Linked DNA regions of Caenorhabditis elegans. The protein of the gene in region 2 purifies or fractionates together with the protein of the main gene of each other region. This does not show direct contact. Each region holds a gene or a part of one and is shown on either strand. Other genes may lie near its edges.

Region 1 (10,675 bases), on a different chromosome or scaffold from region 2:
TTTTAGTGGTTCTGTGATTCTGCTGTAGTGGATAGAAATAATAATTGCTCAATACTTTATTTATATTGCTTCGGAATGTGCAAAATATTGCATAAATGTACACAAGTTTCAATACAGTTAAGCACTTGTCGAATTTCCAGATACTGTAATCATTCTCTTCTTTCTTCCATTTCCGTATGGATCATAGAAAGGTTGTGCATGCCCGCAGGTTGAGCACGCTGGTGGTTGGTAACAAGTTGTGCATGGAGCTGGAGTCACAATGACAACCGGTTGGGTATTACAAGTATTGCATGGTGGTGGTGGTTGATTGCATGTTGTGCACGGGCAAGCAGCTTGTTGAGGGCATGGCTCTTGTTCAACGGAGCCTCCAGTACACTGAAACAAACAGTTATAAATGTTATATTGAATAAAAACGTTTAGCTTTATAAATTTTAAACTTACTCCCGATCCACAGCTACATTGCCTAGATCTGGTGATTGATCCTCCAGATCCGCAGGTTACTGAGCACGCCGACCAGGAAGACCACTGAAACAAAAGTTATTAAGTGAGAAGTTGAACTCAATTTGTTCTCACAGCAGTCCAGGTGCAGCACGGTTGAGCATTGCAAGCTTGCGACTCGGCAGCAGCTCCGACACATTGGCAGGTTGAGCATCCGTTATTGCAAACACGACTTCTCGTCATCGTACCACCGCCGCAGGTGGCACTGCAAAAAGAAAAGTTAGGCTTATCAGTTTGGCAATAAAGAAAACAAAACAATAATAAACAGATTAAAGCAAAATATTGCTAACCTGCAACTACTCCAACCTCCCCAAGCTCCCCATTGTGGTTGAGTTGGTTGTGGATCATAAAGGACGCATGGTTTTGATTCTGTTGTAGAACCTCCTTGGCAGTTGCCGGATGGACAAAGTCTAGTGCGAGTTTGGACTGGCGCTGAAATTGAAATTATTATTATGAAGATGTACATATAGCGGAAATGTGACTCCAGGTGTTGGAAATTCTATTTCAAATCCAAGAATCTCTGTGCACTGTAGAATTTTACATTTCATAAAGATCACTGAAATTGTGGCGGGACCAGTAAAACTGAATGTTTCTTTAAATTGATGTGTCAGGTTTTCGCAAAACTGCTATAGCAAAAATTCAAAAAATAGAAGACCTACTTCCAAAAGCGGCAGAACAGGAAGACCATTCTGTCCATCCACTCCACTGAGGGCTATCACCACATACGTTGCATCCGCTTGGATTTGCTTGTACACCGCCTCCAATTACATATGAAAGTGTTCCTAAAAATATTTTATAACAATCAAAAAAAAACTGTTTCAGAAATTGGAAACATTTTTCAGAAAATACTATAATTCTGAAAGAATAGTTTACCTTGAAAAAGACACAAAGAAAGAATAAGTGCGAACATTGTTGATAAGCTGATAGCGGATGAACTTTTGTTCGATGGCAATCTTCGCTTCCTTCACTCCTTAAATATATTTCGGTTTCGCAAATATTACCTGACAGTTGAGAAACATTCGCCTCGAAGTGTATATTTGCCTCTTCTTGAAAAAAAAAAAGCAAACGCCCTCTCGGCTAGTAGTTGACGAAATATATCTGCTTCCCAACGGCAGCAGAGACCCAATATGACAATTATAACAGACTAAAGCTAAAAGGACGTCCGTCATAAGCCATAAATCTTACGATTCAAAACGGCAGTCGTAATGCAAAAAGCACTCAGAATGTGGTTTTTTGTTTCTACTAGGATGCCATGCAAAATTTACCTAAAAATATTAATTGGTCGCTACGTGAACTCCGCGGTAGGCAAACAAATAAGAAAAACTAGACTCATCGAGATCAACCATCTATCGCTCTGACTCATTGCAGCTTTTTCAATTGTAAGTGAAATTTTATCTATTTCCGTTATTCGAAAAATTATATCCGTCACTCCCATTGTTCCTTGTTAGTCACTGATAAAATATCCGCCTTCAGAACAAACCTTCCCAAAAAAATTAAAATTGACCAGATTTATTTTAGCATGAAAAAGCTAAGCAAAACACAACAAGTTCAGTTTGCTCTTGCTTCTGATCTAACAAAATTTAGAATAAATATGACATTTAAAATACAATCTAGTTAATTAATAGGTTTCATATATTTGCAGATTGACAAAAAAATTATTATTAAACAAGCATGTATCGAAGCCGTCATTGAAGTCGTTTTTTGATTTCTATAACATCCAGTATTGGTTGCCTTTTTGTTTTGTATCTGAAATTTTGTTCTTTTTTTAGTATTTGACTTTAATCGTGAATTGCCACTGTTGCGGATTTTAATATCAATTTTCTTGACTCCAAAATGTAAGAAAAAAAGAGAAAAGTTGGCTCATTTTGAAAACATTCGATGCCAAAAGCTTCAAATATCCTAAATTTGAGAATGGAATTTTAAGCATCAAAGAAAAAAATTCTGAGCAAAATTTCAGCATCACTATTTCTTAAAAATTATAAATAGCAGTAGTTCGCGATTCATAAAACTGTCCTTTAGATGTTTAAATCAGTAAACTCACAAAAAATCCAGCTAGAAAATTCGCTTAGGATTTTTTGTTAAAAATCTCAATTTCCGGCTTTTTGAGGTGTTTGAATTAAATTTCCTCAAATTCAACCAATTAAAAAAAAAAGATTTTACCTTCTCTGCAACTCTCGTATTTCTTCTTCCATCTCCGAATCCAAACTTTCTTTCCTTCGAATCAGTTCGTCTAGCGTGATGTTTCGTAACTAAATGCAGCTATTTCGTTATTAGAAAAATTACGAAATACACTTACAAATTCGAAATCTCCATCGACCACTGCCCGTTGAAATCTATTTTCGTATTCGGCTTCCGTGTTCACTGAAAGAGTAGGTGTTTTTTAACTGTGATTCAATTCAAGATTTCAAAATATGTCTTTCTAAGTTTCAAAACTTATGCAATACAAATTTTCCACAAAACATTAGTAGTGACATTTTTCATTTTTTAGAATTTACAGGCAAAATCTTAATCAGCTAACATTTCATGCATGGCTAGAATAAGGGGTATGACATTTCAATTTTAATAAAATTTTAGGTTTGTGAAAATGCCTGAATAATTTTTCATTTTTTTGTCAAAGTCATTCGAGCTGAATAACGTTTTTTATGCTAGCTTTTTTTTCTCATAGATCATCATTTTATAATTGGTTTTCTTTCAAATAACTAACTCATATTATAACTAGCATCTTTGTAACTGCTCTCGCTGGTGCCCAATTGAAAGTTTGGACCGGTTCCATCTTGAGCAAACGGTTGGTTTTTTGAAGGGTCTGAAGCGCTTGCGGTGTGACCCGGTGGTTGAACGCGCGGTGAGTTGCCATTTTTCGACGAGCCTGGAACTATATCGGTGAATGCAATTTAACGCTCATGAAAAAACGAACTATATGCCGATTTAGGAATTTCTCCACCAATTCTCAAGCTTTCCATTTGACTTCGAAGACTTTGAGCAGTGACATAGTTGTCTGAAATTGTGAGTTCTATTTCACTAGGTAATTTTGTAATTTCTCCCTGTGTCCTGCTTCACGTTACTACTAAATATCGAGCTACAAAGTAGTGCAAATTAGGTGCGTGAGTTTTGCACTTTCCCACGACACATATGATCAAATTACATATTCAAAACTATCATAATACCTTTGTGTTGAACTAACGTAGACTCTCCACCGTCAATCATAGTGGACATTCCCTCGCTTAGCAACGTTGCATCATTTCCGCTGCTTGCTGCCTGAAAAAACAATCAAATTTTCGTTTTCTAATGAAATTTTTTGTCAACCATTGGTGCTTGTCCTAGTATAGCTTTTTCTTGAGCATCCTGGATCATCAACTGCATAATATCGCAACCTGGTGCATTTTTGATGAATGTGTGCTGAAAAATATCTATGAAGTGAGCAATGTTCACAAACTGTGTATCATTTGTTTTTCAGCAGTATTAGTAATACTATGACAGAAAACAACAAAAAAGTGTATAAAAATAGTAGAAAATTCTATGTAAAAAGTTAAAAAATTACTCCGAAGGGGTTGTCAAATTATAAGAAATCTTCTATTTTCGGTTGAGAGTAGTTGTAGGAAATATGAAAATTTGGCCCCGTCTATATCTTGGCAGTTTTTAAATGAGTTGCCACGTAGTGGCAGCAAGTGGGAAAGAACGCTCCTCGGCATTTAAAGGCAACTTCCTGCCAACTTTTGGCAACTTTCTGCCAAACTTTTGCACATTCCTGCCAACATTTAGATGTTTTTTCCCACTTACTGCCACTACGTGGCAACTTCCTGCCAACAACTCGGCAACTTCCTGCCAGCAATTTGGCAACTTATTTTAGTGGCACTAAATAAGTTGTCAAAGTGTGGCAGGAAGTTGCCTCTGAATACCGAGTAGAGAATTATGTTGAGTTCTAGCGTTTTTTGGATTGTTTGTTTTTATAGATTTCAAGCTTTTATCGACATCATTTTGTAGTCAAACGTGAAAGTTTATCGCTTTTCTCGCATTTTTTGCTGACATGGACATATTTTCAGCCGATTAGAACACAAGTTTAGCTGACTACCGACTAGAAACTTTAAAAAATAGAAAAAAGAAATACTACATGATTGAAAATTAATTTCTAGTCCCTGCGACAAAAAAAAGTTGTCGAAATTTTGAATTTTAGGTGGATGTACCTTTTTTCACAGTTTTAACAAATATAACGAATATTTGAGAATTTCAATATTTTTTGGATAAATCTTATTGGGAAATTTCTTTTTTTTTAAGCCATACGTACCTCACACAATCGGAGTGCCGTTTTTCTTTCTTCTGGCTTTTTAATTAAACAGCTTCTTATGAAATCATTGAACTCGGACGACCATTCTTCAGGTTTTTTAAACGTAGGTGGTGGTTTAGTTGGAATCATGAAGATTGCTCGCATCGGATGAATATCTGAATAAGGAGGCCGTCCCTCTGCCATTTCGATAGCTGTTATTCCCAGTGACCATATATCAGCTTTTGTGTCATATCCGATTTCTTCGATAACTTCAGGGGCCATCCAGAATGGCGTTCCAATGACTGTATTTCTTTTTGCCATTGTATCAGTCAACTGTCCAGCGACACCGAAATCCGCAAGCTTTGCAATTCCATCGGTATTGAGTAGAATGTTTCCAGCCTGAAAATACAGTTTTTTTTTCAAAAAAAAACAGTTTCTAACCTTTATATCTCTATGAATCTTCTTCAAGTCATGCAAATATTGCAATCCCTTGAGAGTATCGCGCAAAACTGCACTGATTTCTTGTTCGGATAACGGTTTCCGCCTGGCACGCATTATATCGGAGATCGACCCAGCTCCACAGTATTCCATCACAATCTTTAAATTAGTTTTTTTGTTAGTCCAGTTTTCTTCTTGATTTTCGACTAGGGGTAGGGAATAAAATCTTTGAATTTCAATTGGCATGCATTTGAATGAATACTTTTGAATGTTATTTCCACTTTAAGCTACATTTTTTTCTGTGGAAAAATCAGAACTTTACTGTTTTTAACTCTAATTCACAAAACGAATATAATTTTTGTTCAATTTCTTTTATTTAGTCCCACTTGGGCACAGCATTAAAATCTTAAAATTTATCTAAACAATCTCACCCATAGATCCGAATGTTTGAAATACGATCCATAGTATTTGACAACATATTTACTTTTACATTGTTGCATTATACTGATTTCCTTGATAATTTCTTGAAGATCAGTATCCACTGGCACTTTTTTGATGGCTAACACATGACCTGACTCTCTGTGAATTGCCTTATGTACGCTTCCATATGATCTGAAAATTTGGAATTTTTCAATCCGATAGAATTGAAATAACAAACCCTTCGCCCAGCTTTCCAACAATGTCGAAAACTTCTTCTGGTGGTTTGTTAAGCGCCGACGAATCCAATTTAAATCCATCGCTAAAACAAAAGAGAATGTTTATTTTGGAAGAGTAACTCTTTTTTTTTGTTTTGTGTCTGACAAACCTTGAGCCCTCTTCCGAATTCCGCCGCGAGCTGTCTGTAGACGGTGGCATCGGGAGGACGCTGAAATTAATGAAATTAACTTTGCTGAAATTTAAAAGTGGAGTAACGTCAGTGCTGAAATTGCTCAAAAACATGCATGCGGCACCACAATAATCAAATATTTTAGCAAAAAGTTTCTGAAAGATGTTCTAAATTTTATCTGATTTTTTTTTGAAAATTGAAAATAAACTCAGTTTTTGCCAATTGTTGGACTTTTTGAAAGTCGTCCTTTCAAAAACTGTTCAGCATTTTTATTTGTTTAATATTTAGTCATTTTGACACCATAAGAGTAGTTTTAAACAATTTTCCAACTTGCGCTACTCCACCTTTAACTGTGTACAAGTTGAAGGATTTATAAAAAAGTGTTGTAAGATCTTGTGTGAGTATAGGAATGAACACCCAATGAGATATAAGTAAGATGAAGAGCAGATGTTGTCCGTCCGACCGACGAGAACTATGGGGCAAGAAAATCGAAGAAAGAAGAAGAAAGAAGAAGAAGAAGATAAAACCTATCCTTGAGGACACATTAGTCGCATGTTTCTCTGCGTTCTCTTGGTTGCACATGCACTCTGCTTGTTCAATTAGAACGTCAACAGTGCATGTATGGTCATATTCTGAAGGGAGGCGAGAAGAGTGAGAAGAGAAAGACAGGCGAATCGATTTGGACGTCGTTTTGAAAGCGAAAAGACGTCTGCGGGGTTCCACCCATGTGGCCCCGATGGCCCGAAGAATGAATAATTGACTACGGCAATTGTCTTTTGGAAAAAAAAGTAATCCGACAAAGTCCAACGTTTTTAGATTAAGATTTCATTGGTAAAATGGTTGAAAAAGCCGAGAAAAACTAATTAATAAATTTTATAATTTATGAAATCTTTGAGATAGACCTGAGCATATTTTAAAACAATACAAATTTAGAAGAACCTTATTTTTCATGAAAGAGATTGAAGTATCATGATTTTCAATTCTATTTCGCAATGTTAGCATTTCATTTAAGATTGAAATATCCTTTTTGAAAGTGTGAGAATTAAATATTCCCATTGAAACTATCAAACTATCAAAGACCAGAGAACAACTCAAAAACAGTACTCTATTTCAGATAAGTTGTACCGTGATAAAAAAAAAGAAGTTAATATAACCGACCGCAGGCGCTACATTCGACGAGCATTCGTAATGCCCTCGGCTCACTCTACGTTATTTGAGCAGTGTGTGGTCGAGGCGAAAGGGGGAAAAGGACGGGAAAGAGTGCGAAGTGTGTACTGCGCTCGTTTCATAAGACTTGACCCTTCACACGTCAGGATGTTTGAATGCGGAATATCGTATTGCTAACTGTGTCCTTCCTGGTGCTGTTTTGCGGTACTGTTTTATTATGAGAGTTGTTGGGTAGTCATCACCTGATTCACGTATGTTTACTATCTTTACTTGTCAGTAGACTTTATTTGTTATGGTGCATAGTAGTTGATTGCTTTTTGTCAGTTTGGACAATTATTCTAGTTGATTTTATAAAGCATGTTTCATCCATTTTTTCAAGCAAAGAGATGTCATAAATTCAAAAACAATTTCCAAGTTATTCTTTAATTTCAATCTATTTAACTTTAAAGAACTGTTAATTGATTTTTCAAAAATATATACACCCATAATATGAAAAAGTATTTTCAACTATCAATAAACACCGAGAAAAGCGGAATATCAAAATTTTTTGGCAATTTGACAATCGATAATTTTGAACAAATAAAATTCAAAAACAAACAAACAAACAATAGTTCATTGTAATAAATATTTTTGGGAAGACATACAACGTTTCCCTACTAAATGTCTGCTATTCCAGATTGCCGAGTTTGAAAATATTCGGTATTTTCGGGAATCGCCGAATCTTGAATTCATCAGCAATTCAATATTTTCCGCATTTTAACAATTGCCTCCCACCCCTAATTCATAAAAATTTTGATATTCCGCTTTTCTCGGTGTTTATTGATAGTTGAAAATACTTTTTCATATTATGGGTGTATATATTTTTGAAAAATCAATTAACAGTTCTTTAAAGTTAAATAGATTGAAATTAAAGAATAACTTGGAAATTGTTTTTGAATTTATGACATCTCTTTGCTTGAAAAAATGGATGAAACATGCTTTATAAAATCAACTAGAATAATTGTCCAAACTGACAAAAAGCAATCAACTACTATGCACCATAACAAATAAAGTCTACTGACAAGTAAAGATAGTAAACATACGTGAATCAGGTGATGACTACCCAACAACTCTCATAATAAAACAGTACCGCAAAACAGCACCAGGAAGGACACAGTTAGCAATACGATATTCCGCATTCAAACATCCTGACGTGTGAAGGGTCAAGTCTTATGAAACGAGCGCAGTACACACTTCGCACTCTTTCCCGTCCTTTTCCCCCTTTCGCCTCGACCACACACTGCTCAAATAACGTAGAGTGAGCCGAGGGCATTACGAATGCTCGTCGAATGTAGCGCCTGCGGTCGGTTATATTAACTTCTTTTTTTTTATCACGGTACAACTTATCTGAAATAGAGTACTGTTTTTGAGTTGTTCTCTGGTCTTTGATAGTTTGATAGTTTCAATGGGAATATTTAATTCTCACACTTTCAAAAAGGATATTTCAATCTTAAATGAAATGCTAACATTGCGAAATAGAATTGAAAATCATGATACTTCAATCTCTTTCATGAAAAATAAGGTTCTTCTAAATTTGTATTGTTTTAAAATATGCTCAGGTCTATCTCAAAGATTTCATAAATTATAAAATTTATTAATTAGTTTTTCTCGGCTTTTTCAACCATTTTACCAATGAAATCTTAATCTAAAAACGTTGGACTTTGTCGGATTACTTTTTTTTCCAAAAGACAATTGCCGTAGTCAATTATTCATTCTTCGGGCCATCGGGGCCACATGGGTGGAACCCCGCAGACGTCTTTTCGCTTTCAAAACGACGTCCAAATCGATTCGCCTGTCTTTCTCTTCTCACTCTTCTCGCCTCCCTTCAGAATATGACCATACATGCACTGTTGACGTTCTAATTGAACAAGCAGAGTGCATGTGCAACCAAGAGAACGCAGAGAAACATGCGACTAATGTGTCCTCAAGGATAGGTTTTATCTTCTTCTTCTTCTTTCTTCTTCTTTCTTCGATTTTCTTGCCCCATAGTTCTCGTCGGTCGGACGGACAACATCTGCTCTTCATCTTACTTATATCTCATTGGGTGTTCATTCCTATACTCACACAAGATCTTACAACACTTTTTTATAAATCCTTCAACTTGTACACAGTTAAAGGTGGAGTAGCGCAAGTTGGAAAATTGTTTAAAACTACTCTTATGGTGTCAAAATGACTAAATATTAAACAAATAAAAATGCTGAACAGTTTTTGAAAGGACGACTTTCAAAAAGTCCAACAATTGGCAAAAACTGAGTTTATTTTCAATTTTCAAAAAAAAATCAGATAAAATTTAGAACATCTTTCAGAAACTTTTTGCTAAAATATTTGATTATTGTGGTGCCGCATGCATGTTTTTGAGCAATTTCAGCACTGACGTTACTCCACTTTTAAATTTCAGCAAAGTTAATTTCATTAATTTCAGCGTCCTCCCGATGCCACCGTCTACAGACAGCTCGCGGCGGAATTCGGAAGAGGGCTCAAGGTTTGTCAGACACAAAACAAAAAAAAAGAGTTACTCTTCCAAAATAAACATTCTCTTTTGTTTTAGCGATGGATTTAAATTGGATTCGTCGGCGCTTAACAAACCACCAGAAGAAGTTTTCGACATTGTTGGAAAGCTGGGCGAAGGGTTTGTTATTTCAATTCTATCGGATTGAAAAATTCCAAATTTTCAGATCATATGGAAGCGTACATAAGGCAATTCACAGAGAGTCAGGTCATGTGTTAGCCATCAAAAAAGTGCCAGTGGATACTGATCTTCAAGAAATTATCAAGGAAATCAGTATAATGCAACAATGTAAAAGTAAATATGTTGTCAAATACTATGGATCGTATTTCAAACATTCGGATCTATGGGTGAGATTGTTTAGATAAATTTTAAGATTTTAATGCTGTGCCCAAGTGGGACTAAATAAAAGAAATTGAACAAAAATTATATTCGTTTTGTGAATTAGAGTTAAAAACAGTAAAGTTCTGATTTTTCCACAGAAAAAAATGTAGCTTAAAGTGGAAATAACATTCAAAAGTATTCATTCAAATGCATGCCAATTGAAATTCAAAGATTTTATTCCCTACCCCTAGTCGAAAATCAAGAAGAAAACTGGACTAACAAAAAAACTAATTTAAAGATTGTGATGGAATACTGTGGAGCTGGGTCGATCTCCGATATAATGCGTGCCAGGCGGAAACCGTTATCCGAACAAGAAATCAGTGCAGTTTTGCGCGATACTCTCAAGGGATTGCAATATTTGCATGACTTGAAGAAGATTCATAGAGATATAAAGGTTAGAAACTGTTTTTTTTTGAAAAAAAAACTGTATTTTCAGGCTGGAAACATTCTACTCAATACCGATGGAATTGCAAAGCTTGCGGATTTCGGTGTCGCTGGACAGTTGACTGATACAATGGCAAAAAGAAATACAGTCATTGGAACGCCATTCTGGATG
Region 2 (8,072 bases):
GAGCGCGAAAAATTCAATGAGGAACGCCAGAACCCCGTGGCGTCAAGCACCAAGAATGCGCCAGTACCCCTTAGCTGGCGTGTTACCTGATAATCAGCCTTACCTCTGTAATACATATAAAAATTAGGGATAGTAGAATAATTCCACACTTTGGGTGCATTATTTCTGAAAAAAATTCTCAACTGTTTTTCGGTGGGAACTTTTGATTTATAGTCTTCTCGATAAACAAATGGCGATCATTTTGTTATCGATGTATCAAATTACCCTTAGTCATAACATATATTTATTTACACTTCATAATTCAATTCACAATTTCTCGTAGAATTATTTCAGATTTTAACATCATTCTTGATAATTTGACAGACAAATGGACGAAGTTGAATGCAGGAACGAATCGACCAGACACCCTTCGCATCCATCACAGCGCAGCCATCAATAGGGGACTCGGAATCAAAGTTCGTGAATGGGGTGGAGGTTTGTGTGGTGGTCTTGGTTTTCATGCCGATCCAGGCAAAATCAGAGGTTTCGCTGGAGTTGATGAGGTCTGAAATTTTGGGAAAATTATTGGAACTGGCTAGAACAGAATTGTAAAAGTTTGCTTCTTTTGACTGGTGAACCTGGCTGGAGATGTTTTTTCGTTTTCAGTATGGGTAACATGAGACTTGAAGCCTAAGCTCTAGCAGTACTGTAGGATTACTGTAGTTTAAGAAAAATTGAGTTCTTGGCTTATGAAGGGATATCGGTTCAGGGTTAGTGGGGGATATTGTCGGGGTACTGTAGTGGTATTGTAGAGGCACTGTAGGATACTGTAGAATTACTGTATTTTAGGAAAATTGAGTTTTCGTCGTTTGAAGAGATATCGGTTGAAGGGCAGTGGGGGATGTGGCTGGGGTACTGTAATGGTACTGTAGAGGTGCTGCATGAGTACTGTAGGATTACTGTAGTTTAGGAAAATTGAGTTTTCGTCGTTTGAAGAGATATCGGTTGAAGGGCAGTGGGGGATGTGGCTGGGGTACTGTAATGGTACTGTAGAGGTGCTGTATGAGTACTGTAGGATTACTGTAGTTTAGGAAAAATTGAGTTGTTGACTTTTGAAGGGGTATCGGTTGAGGGTCAGTGGGGGGATATGGTCGGAGTACTGTAGTAGTAATGTATATATACTATAGGAGTACTGTAGGATTACTGTAGTTTAGGAAAAATTTAGTTTTTGTCTTTTGAAGAGATATCGGTTGAGGGTCAGTGGGGGATATGGTCGGAGTACTGTAGTAGTAATGTATAGATACTATAGGAGTACTGTAGGATTACTGTAGTTTAGGAAAAATTGAGTTTTTGTCTTTTGAAGAGATATCGGTTCAGGGTCAGTGGGGGATATGGTTGGGGTACTGTAGTAGTACTGTAGAGGTACTGTAGGAGTACTGTAGAATTACTGTAGTTTAGGAAAAATTGAGTTTTGTCTTTTGAAGGGATATCGGTTCATGGTAAATGGGGGATATTGTCGGGGTACTGTAGTGGTATTGTAGAGGTACTGTAGGAGTACTGTAGGATTACTGTAGTTTAGGAAAAATTGACTTTTTGTTTTTTGAAGGGATATCGGTGTACTGTAGGAAACTGTAGAATTACTGTAGTTTAGGAAAAATTGAGTTTTTGTCTTTTGAAGGGATATCGGTTCATGGTAAGTGGGGGATATTGTCGGGGTACTGTAGTGGTATTGTAGAGGTACTGTAGGAGTACTGTAGGATTACTGTAGTTTAAGAAAAATTGACTTTTTGTTTTTTGAAGGGATATCGGTTCAGGGTCAGTGGGGGGGGGGGGATATGGTCGGGGTACTGTAGTGGAACTGTAGAGGTACTGTAGGAGTACTGTAGGATTACTGTAGTTTAGGAAAAATTGAGTTTTTGTCTTTTGAAGGGATATCGGTTCATGATAAGTGGGGGATATTGTCGGGGTACTGTAGTGGTATTGTAGAGGTACTGTAGGATACTGTAGAATTACTGTATTTTAGGAAAAATTGAGTTTTTGTCTTTTGAAGAGATATCGGTTCAGGGTCAGTGGGGGATATGATCGGGTACTGTAGTGGTACTGTAGAGGTACTGTAGGAGTACTGTAGGAGTACTGTAGGATTACTGTAGTTTACGAAAAATTAAGTAGGACTGAAACCCGCAAACTGTCTCCGTTAAAACCTACTTGTCACAAATCCATTCTTCGCTTCATTGTCGATTATAGCCAAATGAGCTCCAAACCCTTGACAGTGTCTCTCTGCATTATCCCAACTTTTCCTCTCCTCAAATAGCCGGTACTTTGACCCACTCTCCGTTGTATTCCACTCTTTCATTAGCACACTTTGCAAACCGTCGATTAATTTCTCCAATCTCGCCACTTTTTCCTTCAAAGTCCGAATTTCGGTTTCGGTGCGACCTTCAAAGTTTTGAAGTTGAGTTGGGAATTCCTCGTCGGTGGAGAAGAAACTCCGCATGCCGTGGAAGTTCTGAAAATTGACGCTTTCAAATATTACCTCTGGAAATTTCTGCTCTAATTGAGTGGACTTTAAGGCTTAAAGTTTAAGCAATTCTGAGACCTTTTTTATTTTCTCCAAAACTTTGGGCGCCAGCTTTTCCACTGCCTTTTTTCCATATTTTACAACCAAATTCGGCTTGGCAGGGTCCTCTGAGCCAATGTTCAGCATGGATTTTAGCTTTGTAAAGGGTCGGGAGAAGAAGCCGGCGGGCTCAGGAGGTAGTGTAGTGGGCTCTGTGTCATGGTGCATCGGGCTTGTCGTGCTATCAGGCGGTGCAAAGCCTAGTTTGGCCTTTACACGGCCAATAAAGCCTGGACTATGAGGTATTGGGATGACTATTGGTATCACAGGGGCTTTGAATTTTGATCTACCTCTATCAATCAATCCAAGATTTCTACTAACTAATCTAGGGGATACTGTAGTTGTGGACCCCCGCCGCCGAAGCCCGGCCCACTCCTGAACCCTTGTCACTTTTGACCGAATCCACGAAGGACGCCGTGTCGTCGACGCAGTTGTCAGCTCCTGGGCTTTTTCACATTTTTTTTTGGAATTTTTTTCCACTCTCTCCGAAACGCCCGTTACTTTACGGAAACTAAACATTTCTTAAAGTTTTTTAATGAAAAAGTATACTACGTAAAATTTCCTATATTTTGTTGGTTGACAACTTTTTTCTACCTTTCTTCTCCGCAAAGTTACAAAGGTTTGAAGAAAGCGCGCCAAAAACTATCAGACAGAAAGAGCACTCTCTTTGTCTGCGCCTCCTGGACAATTTAAATAATTTTCTCCACTTACAAACTGCGTCTGAACCACAGCCGCTAGTAGAAGAACAGAAAATATCGATCGCATGTTTTGAGAAAAAAATGAACAAAAAATTAAATTTGGCAATAGAAGGAGGTAATGAAATGAAAAGACCAGTTAAAATGTGGTATCAAATCAGCCGCCCCCTGATTTCTCTGCACTCTCTTATTTACCTCTTATCTCTCACTTTATCACTTGTTTTCCCGATAGTTTGACGAATTTCTGGTCATCACGGATTCTGGAGACTAGGGGAAAATGTGGTGATTTCATAGTATAACCGGAAGTTTATAAGTTTTTATCCCAAGAAATTACAGACGTAATTTGGGAGCTCGCGTCAACGGGTGTTTCTCAATGGAGCGCGTTTACATCAAGATTTGTGTTTTTTCTGTCTTATGGTGTGAAAAAATCACGTGAATCACCTCTGAAAATTGGAAAAAATCCAAAACAAACAAAAAACACAATTCTCGAAAAATTAGTCACGAGGAAAAGTACCTCGTGATTCAGGAGACCTTTAACAAATCAGAAATTGGAAGTGAATCACCGATGCACCATGTCACTCCTAGTACTTACTAGGGAACCGTCAGAAGGTGCCCATCGGACTTGCATATGAGACCTATGCGATTCGATAGTGCATGTATTAAAACGGTTACTCGTGAAATTTTAGCGGCAAAACTCCAGAACCAAGCTCACGGCGGGCTCTCAAAGATCCTGAAAATATCACTGTAACGAAGCATTGAAGGGCCAATTTTCCAATTTCACTTTGGTAGCTCATATCTCCGTAGAAAAATTTTTTACAGAAAAGTCATCAACTGATAAGTTGTTGATATTGTTGTAAAGAACAAGTTTGTAGTTGAAAGTTTTTTACCAAAAAATTTTTGTTTGAGATAAATAAAACCGCGTGAAGTGCGGCAACTGCTGTTGTTATTTGTATGCTGCTATTCCGTTTCTAATGCTTTTCTCTCAAATACAAATTTTTTGGTAAAAAACTTTCAACTACAAACTTGTTTTTTAGGACAATATCAACAACTTATCAGTTGATGATTTTTCTGTAAAAAATTTATCCGCGGAGATATGAGCTACCAAAGTGAATATGGAAAACTGCTTCGTTAGATCATTAAAGTTCTTCCTTACAGTGATATTTTCAGGATCTTTGAAAGCCCGCCGTGAGCTTGGTTCTGGAGTTTTGCCGCCAAAATTTCACGAGTAGCCGTTTTAATACATGCACTATCGAATCGCATAGGTCTCATATGCAAGTCCGATGGGAACCTTCTGACGGTTCCCTAGTTAGCTGGTGCACTATGAAATTCCTAACACACCCTCGATGCAGTACTAGTTTATTACTTAACAATTCCAGCTGAAAACTTAATAATACAGATTATTCAACAACTTGGATTATCAGCTGCTTTTGACTGTTCTTGAAGATTTTCACATTGGTATCTTTACTGGTGACAATCACTTGTTCCCTGAAACTTTCTTTTTCAAATAAATTCAAATAACTACTACCTCTTACCTATCTTCCACACTCCTTTGCACTGAACTTGCTTCAAACCTATTATCAATCGCCTGATTAACCAGCTCAAACTTCTCACGGAACACGAAAAGTGTCAAGGTGGTGCCCATCGGTTTTTTGTCCTGAATCCAGTTTTCGCAGAGATTTACAACTTTCGGGGAGGTCATATTATAATCTAAGAATATCCAAGGAGATTGGAGATTTGAAATCGCGCGAATCGGAATTGCACGTGATGATTTTATACACAGCTTCTTGGCTGAATATATCTGGAAGGAAACAACAAATTTCTGTGAATTTTCAAATTTCAGACTCTACCACAGGCTCCGCCAGAATCAAGTAATCCATTCCAACAAAATCCACCTCCGCCGTCTCGAACGGGCGAGCTCGGAGGCAATCAAACCAGGTCGTGTAGTCATATCTCAGGGATTCAATCCGCATTCTTACAAAAATGTGTCGAATATTCAATTGGCAGCACGCCTCGAGACCATATGGATGATTCTGCAAACGCACGACGGTCTCGTCACGACAAAATTTCGTTAATTGATAAAAGGTGTGCGCCTTTAAAGAGCACTGTAATTGAAAACTTTCGTTGCTCACGCGGGATCCTGGCCTTGCTCATTGAATTTTTCGCGCTCCATTGATAATCTCCCGCTGGACAACGCGTGGGAAAGTCGTGTACTCCACACGGACACGTACATTTCGTTTTACAACTAAAACCGAGCCGCGACGCGACACGCAACGCACCTTAAATCTACCCCAGATATGGCCGAGCCAAAATGGACTAGTTCGGCCTAAACTCTTCCATTTCAATTTATGAGGGAAGCCAGAAATCTGTGAAAACTAGAAGAAAATAATTAAAAACCCCAAATTTCCAACAAATTATAGAAAAAACTAGATAACACAAAAATTTGTAATTACAGTACTCTTTAAAGGCGCACACATAATCGCGTAAGAATTACCAGAATTTGCAGTGTATGAATACTTGTTCCTGGTCGATTTAAATAGAAATCCACCAATTTCCGAAAGGTTTCAGTCTGTGAATCTTCAGGACTTGCAATTAAAATTCCGAATTGTTGAACTCCACCGAATAAAACGTTGGCGCCAAGCTGAGCAGTTTGAATATTGAAATTATATTTTTTATCAATCGAAAAGTGCCAGTCCTCCCTTGTTGTATCGATTTTTATACAATTAAAGTGATAGGGAAGCTTTTTTTCAAGCTTGCGAAATATCGAGTTGAAATTTGCAAGATGGCTTCTGTAATCGTGTTTTCAAATGGATTCTAAAATAAAACCCACTTCTTGTCAAATGATAAATATTTGAATATGCATGGGACGCTTTCAGAATACATTTTAAGCTGAAATATTATCAATAATTGCAGCAAAAAAGGCAAAATTGCGAAATTTCTTGCTACGAAATTTTCTTCAGTGAAAATTAATTGTTCTAGTTGGTATCAAGTGTATGCAAATGGAAAAACGGTAAAAAATATATTTCAAATCATGTTTTCATAAGTTTGTCTTTATAAATCTTTATTCCAGACCTGTTTCCTTCTTTTGCGCGTGGGGTACGGTACGCAGTCCGCAAACACCGAATGCGAGCGCGAAAATTTTTCGATTAATTTTATAATTTTTTCCGCCATTTTTCTCATTTTCCACGCATTTTTCGATTTCTTTTGTGATTTTTACCTTAAAAAAGTTAATTTTCACGTTAATTTCCCTCAAAAATTCGATTTTCTCCGATTATTTCTCATTATTTTCTTCAGAATGCCACCACGCAAGATCAAGAAGGACCCGGCTGTGGTTGCGATGGCGGATACTCTCGAGACGCGTGGTAAGCTTGAAGATCTCCAGTAATTTATTATATTTAAATAATTTATTTTCCAGTCAAGGACTTACTCGAGGAGTATAAGAAGAAGCTGCGGGAGGTCGCCCTTCAGACAGCAAAGGCTGAATCCGACCGGATCATCGCCACAATCAAGCCAAAATACAGGGATATGCCGATCATGGAGTTTCTGGCATCGCCACCGGATGATTTCTACATTGAATCCGGCGAGGAGGAGGAGGAAGGAGAAGCGGCGGTGGCGGTTAAGCAGGAGCTTCCTTCCGAGCCTGACATGGAAATCGACGACGCGGCGGCGGCGCAAAAGACGAGCATTCCGATTGGCCAGAACTCGTAAGTTTTCAAAAAAATCCAAATTTCCGCCATTTACTTTTATCAATAAATTTTCCAGCGGCCGGAACACGGTGCAGGTCAAGCAGGAGCCTGAAATCGACGACGATGCGGCGCATGAGACGAGCATTCCGATTGCTCCATCTGGCCAGAACTCGTAAGTTTTCAACAAAAAAAAAATCGATTTCTCAATAAATAAATTAATTTTTTTTCAGCGGCAGGAACACGGCGGCCGACGAGCACCGCCGCAACGAGATCATAACGCCAGCTGGACAAGTGCTCCCACTGCCAACACTTCAACCGGAAAAGCCATTCCGTGCTCCACACGTTGACGAGGAAATCGCCTTCTCGGTGAACGGATCGCCACTGGTCTTGGCTGGAAGAACTACTGCTACTGCTGCTGGCAAGGAGAATCGGAAGAAGTCGAAGAAATCTGGTGCGGCGAGCAAGAAGGCAGCGGCAGCAGCCGGGCCTCTCCAGCCGGAAACTGAAAATGCCGGGACGTCTGTATAGGAAAAATCCCCCGATTTAATTTTTCCCCCGCTTTAATTTTTATAATGATCTGTAAATACTTGATATTTCAATTTTTCCCGTCTTTTACCTTTTATATGCAAATTTTTTGATCTCAACGATCGTTTGATTCTCTAAATAGACTGCAAAAAATTTGACTGCAAAAAATCGAAAAAAAATTAGTTTTTTTTCAGAGAAAATCGGAAAGAAAACTTCCAGCCTTCTTGTACTACTCTTGGACAACTGTGAACTAGTTATTTAAACAGTTTTTGACAAGAATCCGCGATTTTGTTCAACTTACGCTAATTCTTTTTGTGTTTTACATCAGCGGTGGACGCCAAACTGTCGGAATTGAAGATTTCCGGCAAATCTGTAATTTGCCGGAATTGAATATTTGCGGCAAATCTGTAATTTGCCGGAATTGAATATTTGCGGCAAATCTGTAATTTGCCGGAATTAAATGTTTCCGGAACATCGGCAAATTGCCGGTATTAAATGTTTCCGGAACATCGGCAAATTGCCGGAATTGAGTATTTCCGGTAATTCGGCAAATTGCCGGAATTGAGTATTTCC

The links.
Region 1: the proteins of fbxc-23 (region 2) and cst-1 fractionate together in Caenorhabditis elegans (co-fractionation; one large-scale study listed by BioGRID). This does not show direct contact.

What each region holds. Positions count from the first base shown.
Region 1 is NC_003284.9:4,335,021-4,345,695, reverse strand, and holds cst-1 (Serine/threonine-protein kinase cst-1 37kDa subunit), read right to left. Parts: upstream 6,065-10,675; 5' UTR 6,053-6,064; coding exon 6,003-6,052; intron 5,937-6,002; coding exon 5,856-5,936; intron 5,810-5,855; coding exon 5,629-5,809; intron 5,357-5,628; coding exon 5,201-5,356; intron 5,159-5,200; coding exon 4,781-5,158; intron 3,895-4,780; coding exon 3,802-3,894; intron 3,754-3,801; coding exon 3,663-3,753; intron 3,494-3,662; coding exon 3,413-3,493; intron 3,371-3,412; coding exon 3,203-3,370; intron 2,860-3,202; coding exon 2,795-2,859; intron 2,748-2,794; coding exon 2,659-2,747; intron 2,245-2,658; coding exon 2,184-2,244; 3' UTR 1,990-2,183; downstream 1-1,989. Other genes in the region: F14H12.3 (Thrombospondin type 1 domain protein), read right to left, coding at 118-375, 442-525, 574-703, 789-930, 1,158-1,280, 1,372-1,408; cst-2 (Serine/threonine-protein kinase cst-1), read left to right, coding at 9,662-9,711, 9,778-9,858, 9,905-10,085, 10,358-10,513, 10,556-10,675. UniProt on the Caenorhabditis elegans protein: Serine/threonine-protein kinase which extends lifespan and delays tissue aging, probably by activating daf-16.
Region 2 is NC_003280.10:13,590,373-13,598,444, forward strand, and holds fbxc-23 (FTH domain-containing protein), read right to left. Parts: upstream 6,184-8,072; 5' UTR 6,172-6,183; coding exon 6,119-6,171; intron 6,078-6,118; coding exon 5,783-6,077; intron 5,322-5,782; coding exon 5,139-5,321; intron 5,090-5,138; coding exon 4,824-5,089; intron 4,777-4,823; coding exon 4,689-4,776; 3' UTR 4,631-4,688; downstream 1-4,630. Other genes in the region: clec-145 (C-type lectin domain-containing protein), read right to left, coding at 104-160; clec-146 (C-type lectin domain-containing protein), read right to left, coding at 330-544, 2,185-2,485, 3,308-3,361; csc-1 (Chromosome segregation and cytokinesis defective protein 1), read left to right, coding at 6,584-6,650, 6,704-6,992, 7,051-7,146, 7,205-7,502.